Linked DNA regions of Canis lupus familiaris. The protein of the gene in region 2 interacts with the protein of the main gene of each other region in a biochemical or structural test. Links are inferred from orthologs where the notes say so. Each region holds a gene or a part of one and is shown on either strand. Other genes may lie near its edges.

What was found. The genes of interacting proteins can lie anywhere in the genome.
Region 1: the proteins of APBA1 (region 2) and CNTNAP4 form a complex in vitro, tested with the Homo sapiens proteins (2 studies listed by BioGRID and IntAct, with this or other methods). The link is inferred for Canis lupus familiaris from reciprocal best matches to the Homo sapiens genes APBA1 and CNTNAP4.

Annotation. Positions count from the first base shown.
Region 1 is NC_049226.1:75,321,132-75,325,976, reverse strand, and holds the start of CNTNAP4 (contactin-associated protein-like 4), read left to right. Parts: upstream 1-1,857; 5' UTR 1,858-2,355; coding exon 2,356-2,440; intron 2,441-4,845. UniProt on the Homo sapiens protein: Presynaptic protein involved in both dopaminergic synaptic transmission and GABAergic system, thereby participating in the structural maturation of inhibitory interneuron synapses.
Region 2 is NC_049222.1:88,641,911-88,645,993, forward strand, and holds part of APBA1 (amyloid-beta A4 precursor protein-binding family A member 1), read left to right. Parts: coding exon 1-48; intron 49-2,042; coding exon 2,043-2,255; intron 2,256-4,083. UniProt on the Homo sapiens protein: Putative function in synaptic vesicle exocytosis by binding to Munc18-1, an essential component of the synaptic vesicle exocytotic machinery. May modulate processing of the amyloid-beta precursor protein (APP) and hence formation of APP-beta.

The sequences.
Region 1 (4,845 bases), on a different chromosome or scaffold from region 2:
GTGTGGTCATCAGACAGGGGCAGGTGTTGTGGAGGATTGAAATGTTGCTATCTCTCCAGTACCAGCCTCCACCTCATTCTATAGCCATAGCACACTGATATGGAAAAGCCATTATTAATGGCTGCTGCGATGCCAAGAAGTTATTATTGGCATGAAAGGTTCGGTTGTTTTTCACTTACATGTACTGGTCCTTTTAAAATACATTCTCTAATTTGTTTTATGGGAACAATTAAGTATAAAGTTTTATTTTTATTTTTTATTTATTTATTTATTTATTTTTAAGTATAAAGTTTTAATAGGAAGACAACTTTTCTCCTCTGGGGAGCCCAAGAGCCTGTTCCTCAGTGTGGAGTCATTGAAAGTAATGATTTTAGAGCTTTGCAGGCCAGAATGTCAAGTCCAGCCTTCTGTCTTACTCACTGTGGCACTCTGGGCAGACTGTTTAACTTCCCTGAGTTTCAGTCTCTTTGCTATATAGACATAATGGTAGTTCCCTCAAAGATTGCTATAATAATTTAATTAGATAACAAATGAGTAGCATGTGTTCAATAAATTTAATCCCCTTTAATAATTACCTAACAGAAATGTTCAGTTTGTATCTGCTTTTGCTTAATATATTATTTTGGAAAATAACAAAATCAGGGATGTAGGCCTAGGAATACAAGTACACACTCAAACAGTGACCTTTCTTTCCCCTGCTGGATTTTTCCCCGGGGCCTCAAGTTTTAGCCACCATTGACAGGTCAGAGAGGAGGTGGATTCTGATGCGAGGGGCAGTAATTCCCAGGGTGAGAGCAGTAAAATTGGAGTCAGAAAAACAAAGTCCAATCATCGATACTTAACTAACTCTATGACCTCTACAAAGTATTTAAATTCTCTGTTCTTGTTTTTCTCATCTGTAAAGTAGGAAAAGAAAAAATATCTGTTCTGCTTTGTTTGTAGGTGAAAGCCAAACATATTTCTTTAACTCTTATGATTATACAGGAGGATGCATCTGTCCTTTTTTTCTCCTTATTTCATTTAATCCATAGCAAGGATAGTGTTGCTACAGGCTTATGTCTTCTAATTTGTAATCACCAAGAGATGCTTGAGAACTCTAGGATTCCTATTCTTATGAAGTCTAGCACATTATCAGTTGAGTATCTTCACACTTATTTTAAAGAAATTATTCATCCTCTTTAAATGATACCATGTGATACATTTATTATGTGATATTAACTGTTATTTAAATTTTTAAATATTCTATTCAAGAAATAGCAGTATTCATGCATCAGCCATTAGGAGAGTAATTTTTCTGTAGTCGGTGAGGTTCTGATCTCAACTTTATTCCTCTCTCCTTTAGAACATTTGAATTACATCTTTATGTTGTTTAGGTTTGGGGTGTGTGTGCATGTGTGTGGGGGGGTCCCCTTTTTCAGAATCCCATCATTCTTCATTTCAGGCCTTTTGGGAATTGTTATTAAAGAATTTGTAGAATGCAGCTGCCTATTCACAGCACGATGCATTCATCAAAATAAATCCATTTAAAGCGTTCAATTTGTGGATTTGTCCTCCTGATGCACTAAAATAAGAAATGTTAATTTCTTGCAGACTATTACCAGATGATTCTAAATATCTGCCAAACAGGAATGTCTGTTTCCTTGTGAGGAATTTCCATAATAAAATCCTGGCTCCATAGCTGAAAAGGATAGTTTTATATAAACAGAGAAAAACAACAGCAAGTATTTTCCCTAAGGGCACTTTCAGCTACAATTTACCAATACTGCTTAGTTATTTCTGTCTTTTATGCTTTTGTTTTGAAACAACGCAGTTTTACCTGGATGCCCTCCCGGATATTCAGGAATTAGCTCAGTGTGTTGACTGGATCTGCTAAAGGCAAGACCTCCGGAAAATCGGGAGGCTCCACCGCCTCCCCCGCTTCCCTCACCCACATCTCCAGAGGGGAGAAAGGGTTAAGGACTGTTGGAGAATAGCGGGGCGGGGAGGGAGCCCCGAGGAGGCCCGGAGCAGCAGGCCGCGCCTGCAGGTGCAGCTTCCATCAGCGGCGCGGCGCGCGGTGGGCTCTGAGCGCCGCTGTGAATTTGGAGGAGGGACCGCGGCCACCGTCGGGGACCGCCGCGGAGAGGAGTGGGCGTGGCCTGGCCGCTCTGGATGCTTGTTAGGAAAGATGCTGGGTGCTTGTCACTGAGGAGTCAGGGCTGTGTGCGGAGTGTGTGTGTGTCTGTGTGTGCGTGTGATACAGAGAGAGAGAGGAGGGAAGGACGAGAGCTACTGAGAGACCCAAAGGTGCTGAAGACCTAGACAGCGCTTGGAGAGCCACTCAACATCTTTTGGGGGAGCCTAATAAATGTGAACATGGGGTCTATCACCGGAGCTGTCCTCAAGCTGCTACTTCTGTTATCTACTCAAAATTGGAACAGGGTCATAGCTGGGAATTCCTGTAAGTATACAGCAAATGATTTAAAACTTGCAGTGGTGGTTGTGTGTGTGTGTGTGGGGGGGGCCTCTCTGCAAAACTTTAATTCTGTTGTTTTTATGATTATTATTTGCAACTGGAATTGCTGCAGAGCATATTGCTATAAATGAAGCCTCACTTAAAAATCTTGCAAATATGACTGGCTTTACACATGTCTTTCCTCCTGGTCTGGTCAAAATATGCAAAGTGTCATTTCTTTTTTTGTCCATGAGCAGACACTTATCCTCTCGTCTTTGAATATTCATTGAGAAAGCTCAAGTTCTAGTAAAACATTAAATTAGCATCTTAACCAGGGAATAGCCTGTGAATGTCTTCATTTCTTCCTTTTTAAGGATTACTGAATTTTATTGGAATTATGTCTAACAGGAAAACAACTGGCAGACTTTACATTATGCTGCATTAGCTTAGATTTCTGAAGTTTGCACTGGCAGACTGATAGCTGGCTGCATCTTTAAAATGATGCCGGGCTAATAACTGAAATGCACTGCAGAATTCAGGAGCAAAACTGGTGGAGGTGAACCCCAGTATTAAGAATCGTGCCCTCACTCTCTAAAGATTTAAGTACTCTTGAAAGAGGGGGCTTGATTCCTCCATTTTGCTTAAAGGGAAAACATTCAGGTGATTTTTTTCAAAGTGTTAATTCTTAAAAGTGTTATTTTTAACTTTATATATTTGTGATTGAATAGTCTAAGTTAATTGATTCAGGGAAGATTTATTAAGACCTCATTTCTTATTTAAGTATCATCCAAAATAATTTGGCAGAACTCTCTTCATCCACTTTTCATTAGAGATAGAAAAAGTTTAAAAAGTTATATTTGGCTTAAAAATCCCCAGATGGGAGAATTTTCCCCTCCCCGATGAGTGATAAATAAGCTCTGCACATTCAACTCTTTATCTCTCTCTCTCTGATTTAAAAAGAAAAGCTCATTTGCTTTTCCAGAAAGGGCTGTGAGGCCTGTTCAGGAATTTATGTTGTTACTGTATAACCAGGTTTAGGTTTAGGGGATACAAATAAGCCAGGAGTCAGGCATTTGCTATGGCACATCCCTTGAGCACACTAAAGCACTCTGATGTGGAAAAAACATGATAAACAACCTTTCTGGCACAAGTCAAATGTCCATTTACACTGCATGTCTGTGATTTCAGGTTCCCATGCAGTATCAGCTCATTTAATAGCAGAGTGTATCTATCACTGGAAGAAGAGAACATCCCTCAGATGCTGCACTGTGTTTCAGATTCAGTTTTAATTTGGTTGTATAAGAATTCCATGAGACAAGAATATTTGCATATTTTCACCTGGTCAGAATCTTGGAATGCTGTAATAGTAGCATTTGACGAGCGTTGCAACAAACAGACAATAACTAGACAGACACACACACACCCATGCACACAAAGTTTTGTAGAGAAGGTATAAGTAATTCATCGTCCAACTACAGAAGTTCAACAAAAAAGGAAGGCACTAGAGGTCACTCTTACAATGTAAAGCACATCACTTGAAGCATCATTCCCTTCAGAAAAGCAGAGCTTAAGTCTGGCCTAGACACAGTCATGTCTTTCTAAGACACTGCCTGTATTGGGGTTAATAATACATGAATATGATTGCTGTGTATTTGATTGAATGTTTTCTTGAAGTCCAATAAAAGGCAGATTGACATTAAATAGCTTTTTTTGTTGTTGTTGTTGTTATATATCTTTTTAGTGAAGGGCAGAGAGACCTGAGTAGAGCAGAACATTCAAGGGTGCTTAGCTTTGGCTGGGTCTCTGACTAACACTTAAAATTTCAACCCTGGCTCTGTATTCTCTCAGCTTTGGTTTGTTTATGATGTAGTTAAATGCTCTTCTAAACATTTGAAAAACTTAAAGAACTTATAAAATTTTAAATTATTAGGTATTATTTAAATATTAAAGTTGGAGATCTTGATTACCATATATATTGAGTTGACAGTTCTTAAAGTGTCAAAAATGCAATTAAATGCCCTCATATCATTAAAATTGCATTGAATAATTTCTTGTTAGTATCACTTGTATGATTTGCAATAATATATATTTGAGAAGGAGAAAAATTCATTTCCTAATTTTTGTTTTATTCTTTAATACTTAGTTTTTTTTTTAATTTTTGGAAGGAAGCAAGGTCTACTTACTATGAAGGTGCTTTATATGTTTCATCTTGTTTGAAAGAACAAGTGTATGTGTTTACCAATTAGGCTGCTATTCAGTGTGTGGGCAAGTGACCATCAACCAGCACAAGCAGTTTTTTAGATTTTTAAATGTTTTTCAGCATAAGCGCTTTTGAAGTGTTAAAATAGCACCAATAATTCTTCTGGACAAGTCTTCATATTAAAACATGAGTCAATCTTGAATACCAACGT
Region 2 (4,083 bases):
TACAACGATGACCTGATCCACTTCTCTAAGTCGGAGAACTGCAAAGATGTATGTACCTCAAGCTCAGTTAGCCGAGCAGAGGCCCCGGGGGAGCCCCACCATGGAAGGAAGGTGGAACAGCTAGGGAACGGGGGGAGGTGGCAGGACTTGGGTGAGGTCTCAGGCTCATCTCTGGCTCCCCTCTCCTAAGGGCCTGTCATTAAACACCACTGTGGAGGGCCGTCCCCAGGATGGAACATCCTCTGCTCCCAGCAGCCGTGAGCTAAGTTTGGGGTGGCTTCCAGAGGTGAACAGGACCTAAAGCCCGCCCTTTCCAAGCCCACTATCTAGGAAAGGGCACAGAAAAGTTAAGTGACAGTGCCAGGCATGAGCACGAGTCAGAGACAGCTGTTAGAACAGAGTGGAGCAGGTGTCAGGGCTCGGGTGACAGGTGCTGCGCTGCTCCTGGGGTGGCCCTGTGGCTTCAGACAGAACTTTGGAGGAGAACGCAGCCATCTAAGGTGGTCTGGGGGTCCAGGTAGTCTTCAGAAAGCAGGAAGGATTCGAGAGGGCTGGGCCAAAGTAACAGAAGCGTTGAAGGTCAGAAAGCTCAGGAACTGTCTGGGGAGCCATGCACAGTGGAGCACTGGGGATGCGGGAGAGGGTGCAGAGAGGCCAACACAGGGCTCAGGTCAGAACCAGGGGCTTGGAAGTCTAGCCGAGGGGCTTGGGTTTTATCCAGTAGACAAAAGGACCTTTAGGAGAAAGTGATCTCTTGGCTCACGAATGTCCTCTGTTGGGCAGAGGAGTCGGTAGGCCTTCGAACCCATGCCAGGCAGTCATGGACACCACCTACACGGGGCAGGGGCAGTGTGCTCGGGCTGCCTTAGCACAGTCCTGCAGACTGAGGGGTCGGTTCCTTCGGAGGGCTGTGGGGGGAAGGGTGTATTCCAGGCCCTTACCCTGGCTGGGAGAGAACGGCCTTCTCCCTGTGTCTTCACATGGGCTTCCCTCTGTGCATGTGTCTGCAGCCAACCCCCCCCCCTTCCTGTGAGGACACCCGCCACCTGAGTGGTGGCCCACCATAATGACCTCACTTTACTTTCACTGCCTCTGTAAAGACTCTGTATCCAAACAAGGTCCCATCCTGAGGTCCTGGGAGTTTGGCCTCCAACGTATGAATTTCAAGGGGAACATAATTCCACCACCCATAATGGGAGTGTCTCCCACTGGGCAGCTCCCCCGCGGAGTGGCTGGCTGTGAGAGAAGGGCCACCAGCCTGTGAGGGGCCGTGTCAGGCCCCAGCAGCCGCCACCACGGTGTGTGTTTGAGTGTACGTGTATTGGTGAATATGAATAAATAAATACATATACACACTCTTTGTCAGAGGCTTTCAAAAGGTGTCCTGCCCCTTGGTGGTGTCCCTGCAAACCTTCCCACACTGCCAGTAGCCAAAACTGACTCCTGTCTTCTCTGCCCTGCCGAGGAAGCCACACAGAAGTAAGCCCATCTAGAACGTGGTCTTGCTACTTGCACTTCCAACCTTTTTGGTTGCACTAACCCTAGCATCCTTTTTTTTTTTTTTTTTTTCATTTTTCTTCAGCTTACTCCCTGCAAAGAAATGTTTCTGTAACATCTATTTGTTTATTTTTAACTCCAGAATCTTAAATGTTGGAGAGAATTTGTGAAGCGCTGTGCAGTAGGGCAGCCTGTGCATAGAATCCAAAAGCTATTTCCAGAAACCTTAACACACCCGCGAAGTCCCCACCCACTCAGCCTCTCTCCCTGCTCCCCGGGGACTATACAAAAAGGCACCCCGCGCCCTTTGTGTTCATACAGCCAAGGCATGACTGCTTATGTGAAACAAGAATTATAAGAAACCTATTGTTACATCATTTCTTACCAAATGCCATGGAATCGAGAGAAGACAGCACTGGTCTGGGTCAGAGCCATCAAGGCAATGCCTTTCTTCTTTAGGTGGGACAGGACGTGGGGGAAAGCTTCGATTTATGTACCCTGGGAGGATGCTGATTCGGGTTTTTGGCTTTGTCTTTTCCTTTCAGGTATTTATAGAGAAGCAGAAAGGAGAGATCCTAGGCGTGGTGATCGTGGAGTCTGGCTGGGGTTCCATCCTGCCAACCGTGATCATAGCCAACATGATGCATGGGGGCCCTGCTGAGAAATCAGGGAAGCTGAATATCGGGGACCAGATCATGTCCATAAACGGCACCAGCCTGGTGGGCTTGCCTCTGTCCACCTGCCAGAGCATCATTAAGGTACCTGCAAAGTGGGAAAAGGTGACTAATGGTGTTGACCTAGATGGATGAATCCGTGACTGACACGTGACTGCTTTTCAGTCATTCAAATTAGGAACATGCACCAGGTGTCGGGCTGAGGAGGACATGGATACAAAAGGCATGGGCTTGCACTCAGGCTCTGAACCCCCAAGTTACTAAGACAGACTCCTCCCGGATATCATCTCTAGATCACAGACAGTAGTATATTTGGCGCACATACCACCACTCTCTATACTGCGCCTTTTGTAGGCATCACTAATCAATCGCAGCACTCTTCCTAAGCCTAGACTCTGCCTCAATCAAATTTCCTGCCGCTCAGTAACCCAGACAGTCACCTACAGTCAGCTAGATGTACTCGAGGTGCTTGGCCACTCCTGTTACACAAATAGTGGAAATGCTTCCAGTCTGAGAGCACGGTTTCCTTGGCAGCATCCGTGGCTGTGATCCAAGGGAGCACGTCCTCCCCAGAACGTGCGTAATGCAGTCCACACGTGCCGGGTGCCGTGCGAAAGGGGGAATCTTCTGGTACAGGCTGCATGCTTCCTCTCACACCTGAGCATAATTAATTCTCGTTCCACCTGAACGGACATTCTTGTGTAAGGCTGAGAATAGCTCCTCACGTGAAACTAAAATGTGAATATCTGTGAGGAAGAAATTAGATTTTCTTCTTAGAAACAAAGCACCCATGTGTAGTTTGTCGAGCACATTGGGACTTGCTGACTGCATGGCCAGTAGGAGCATTGCTCCTTCACCACAGGATCTGTCGACCCCAGCTCCGTGCCACGCACCATGACCCCACAGGAAAACAGGTTCCATGACTCACTTTCATCCCCTGGGGTTTCCTGGAGGCCTATGAGCTAGAACGTAGCTGTGTGTGTGTGTGTGTGTGTGTGTGTGTGTGTGTGTGTGTGGTGTGTGTGTGTGTAGGGAGCACAGGGAATGAATGGATTCATATAATAGTTATCCCAAACTCAGGAAAGTCACAAAAGCTGACATCCGTGGCTGAGCAGTTCAAGGGGTGGGGGGTAGTCAAAGTGAGTGTGGAGGATGCAGGGCTGGGTGCCTCTTCGTTTTTAATGAAACAGATACATTCTGATTCCTCAAAAGATTATCTTACCCAGAGAAAAAACAGTCCTCTTTGGCTTCACTTAATTTCTTCTTGTTACATCTTACACTGAAATAATTTCTACCCTTTCTTAATAGACATTAAAGATTAAAGAACCTAGAGGCTCAGTTGGGAGAGTCAGTTGTGACTCCTGATCTTGGGGTTGTGAGTTCAAACCCCACATCAGGTATAGAGGTTACTTAAAAAAAAAGATTGAAGAATCCACTTTGAACATTCATATTCATTCAGGCATGTGTTGGGCCTCTGTTAGGCTGAGCTGAACTATGGTGAAGCCAGAATGTCAGGAAGATGATTCATAATTAAAGGGGTTCCATGTTGGGGCCTGGGTGGCTCAGTGGGTGAAGCATCTGCCATCAGCTCAGGTCATGATCCCAAGGTCCTGGGATCGAGCCCCGCATTGGGCTCCCTGCTCAGTGGGGAGTCTGCTTCTCCCTCTGCCCCTCCCCCTGCTCATGCTCACTCAGTCTCTCTCTCTCAAATAAATAAAATTTTTTTAAAAAATAAGATAAAAGGGTTCAGTGAACCCTCAGAGGCAACATAGAGGTGAAGTGCTACAAGCATGGAGGAGAATTTTACCTGATTTTTAAGGTGGGCTTGGAAAGAGAAGTAAGACATAGGTGAACAGATAAAACAGAGGAAGGTGGCCTTCTGTGCCAGGCCCAGGACCACACAGGGACTCAT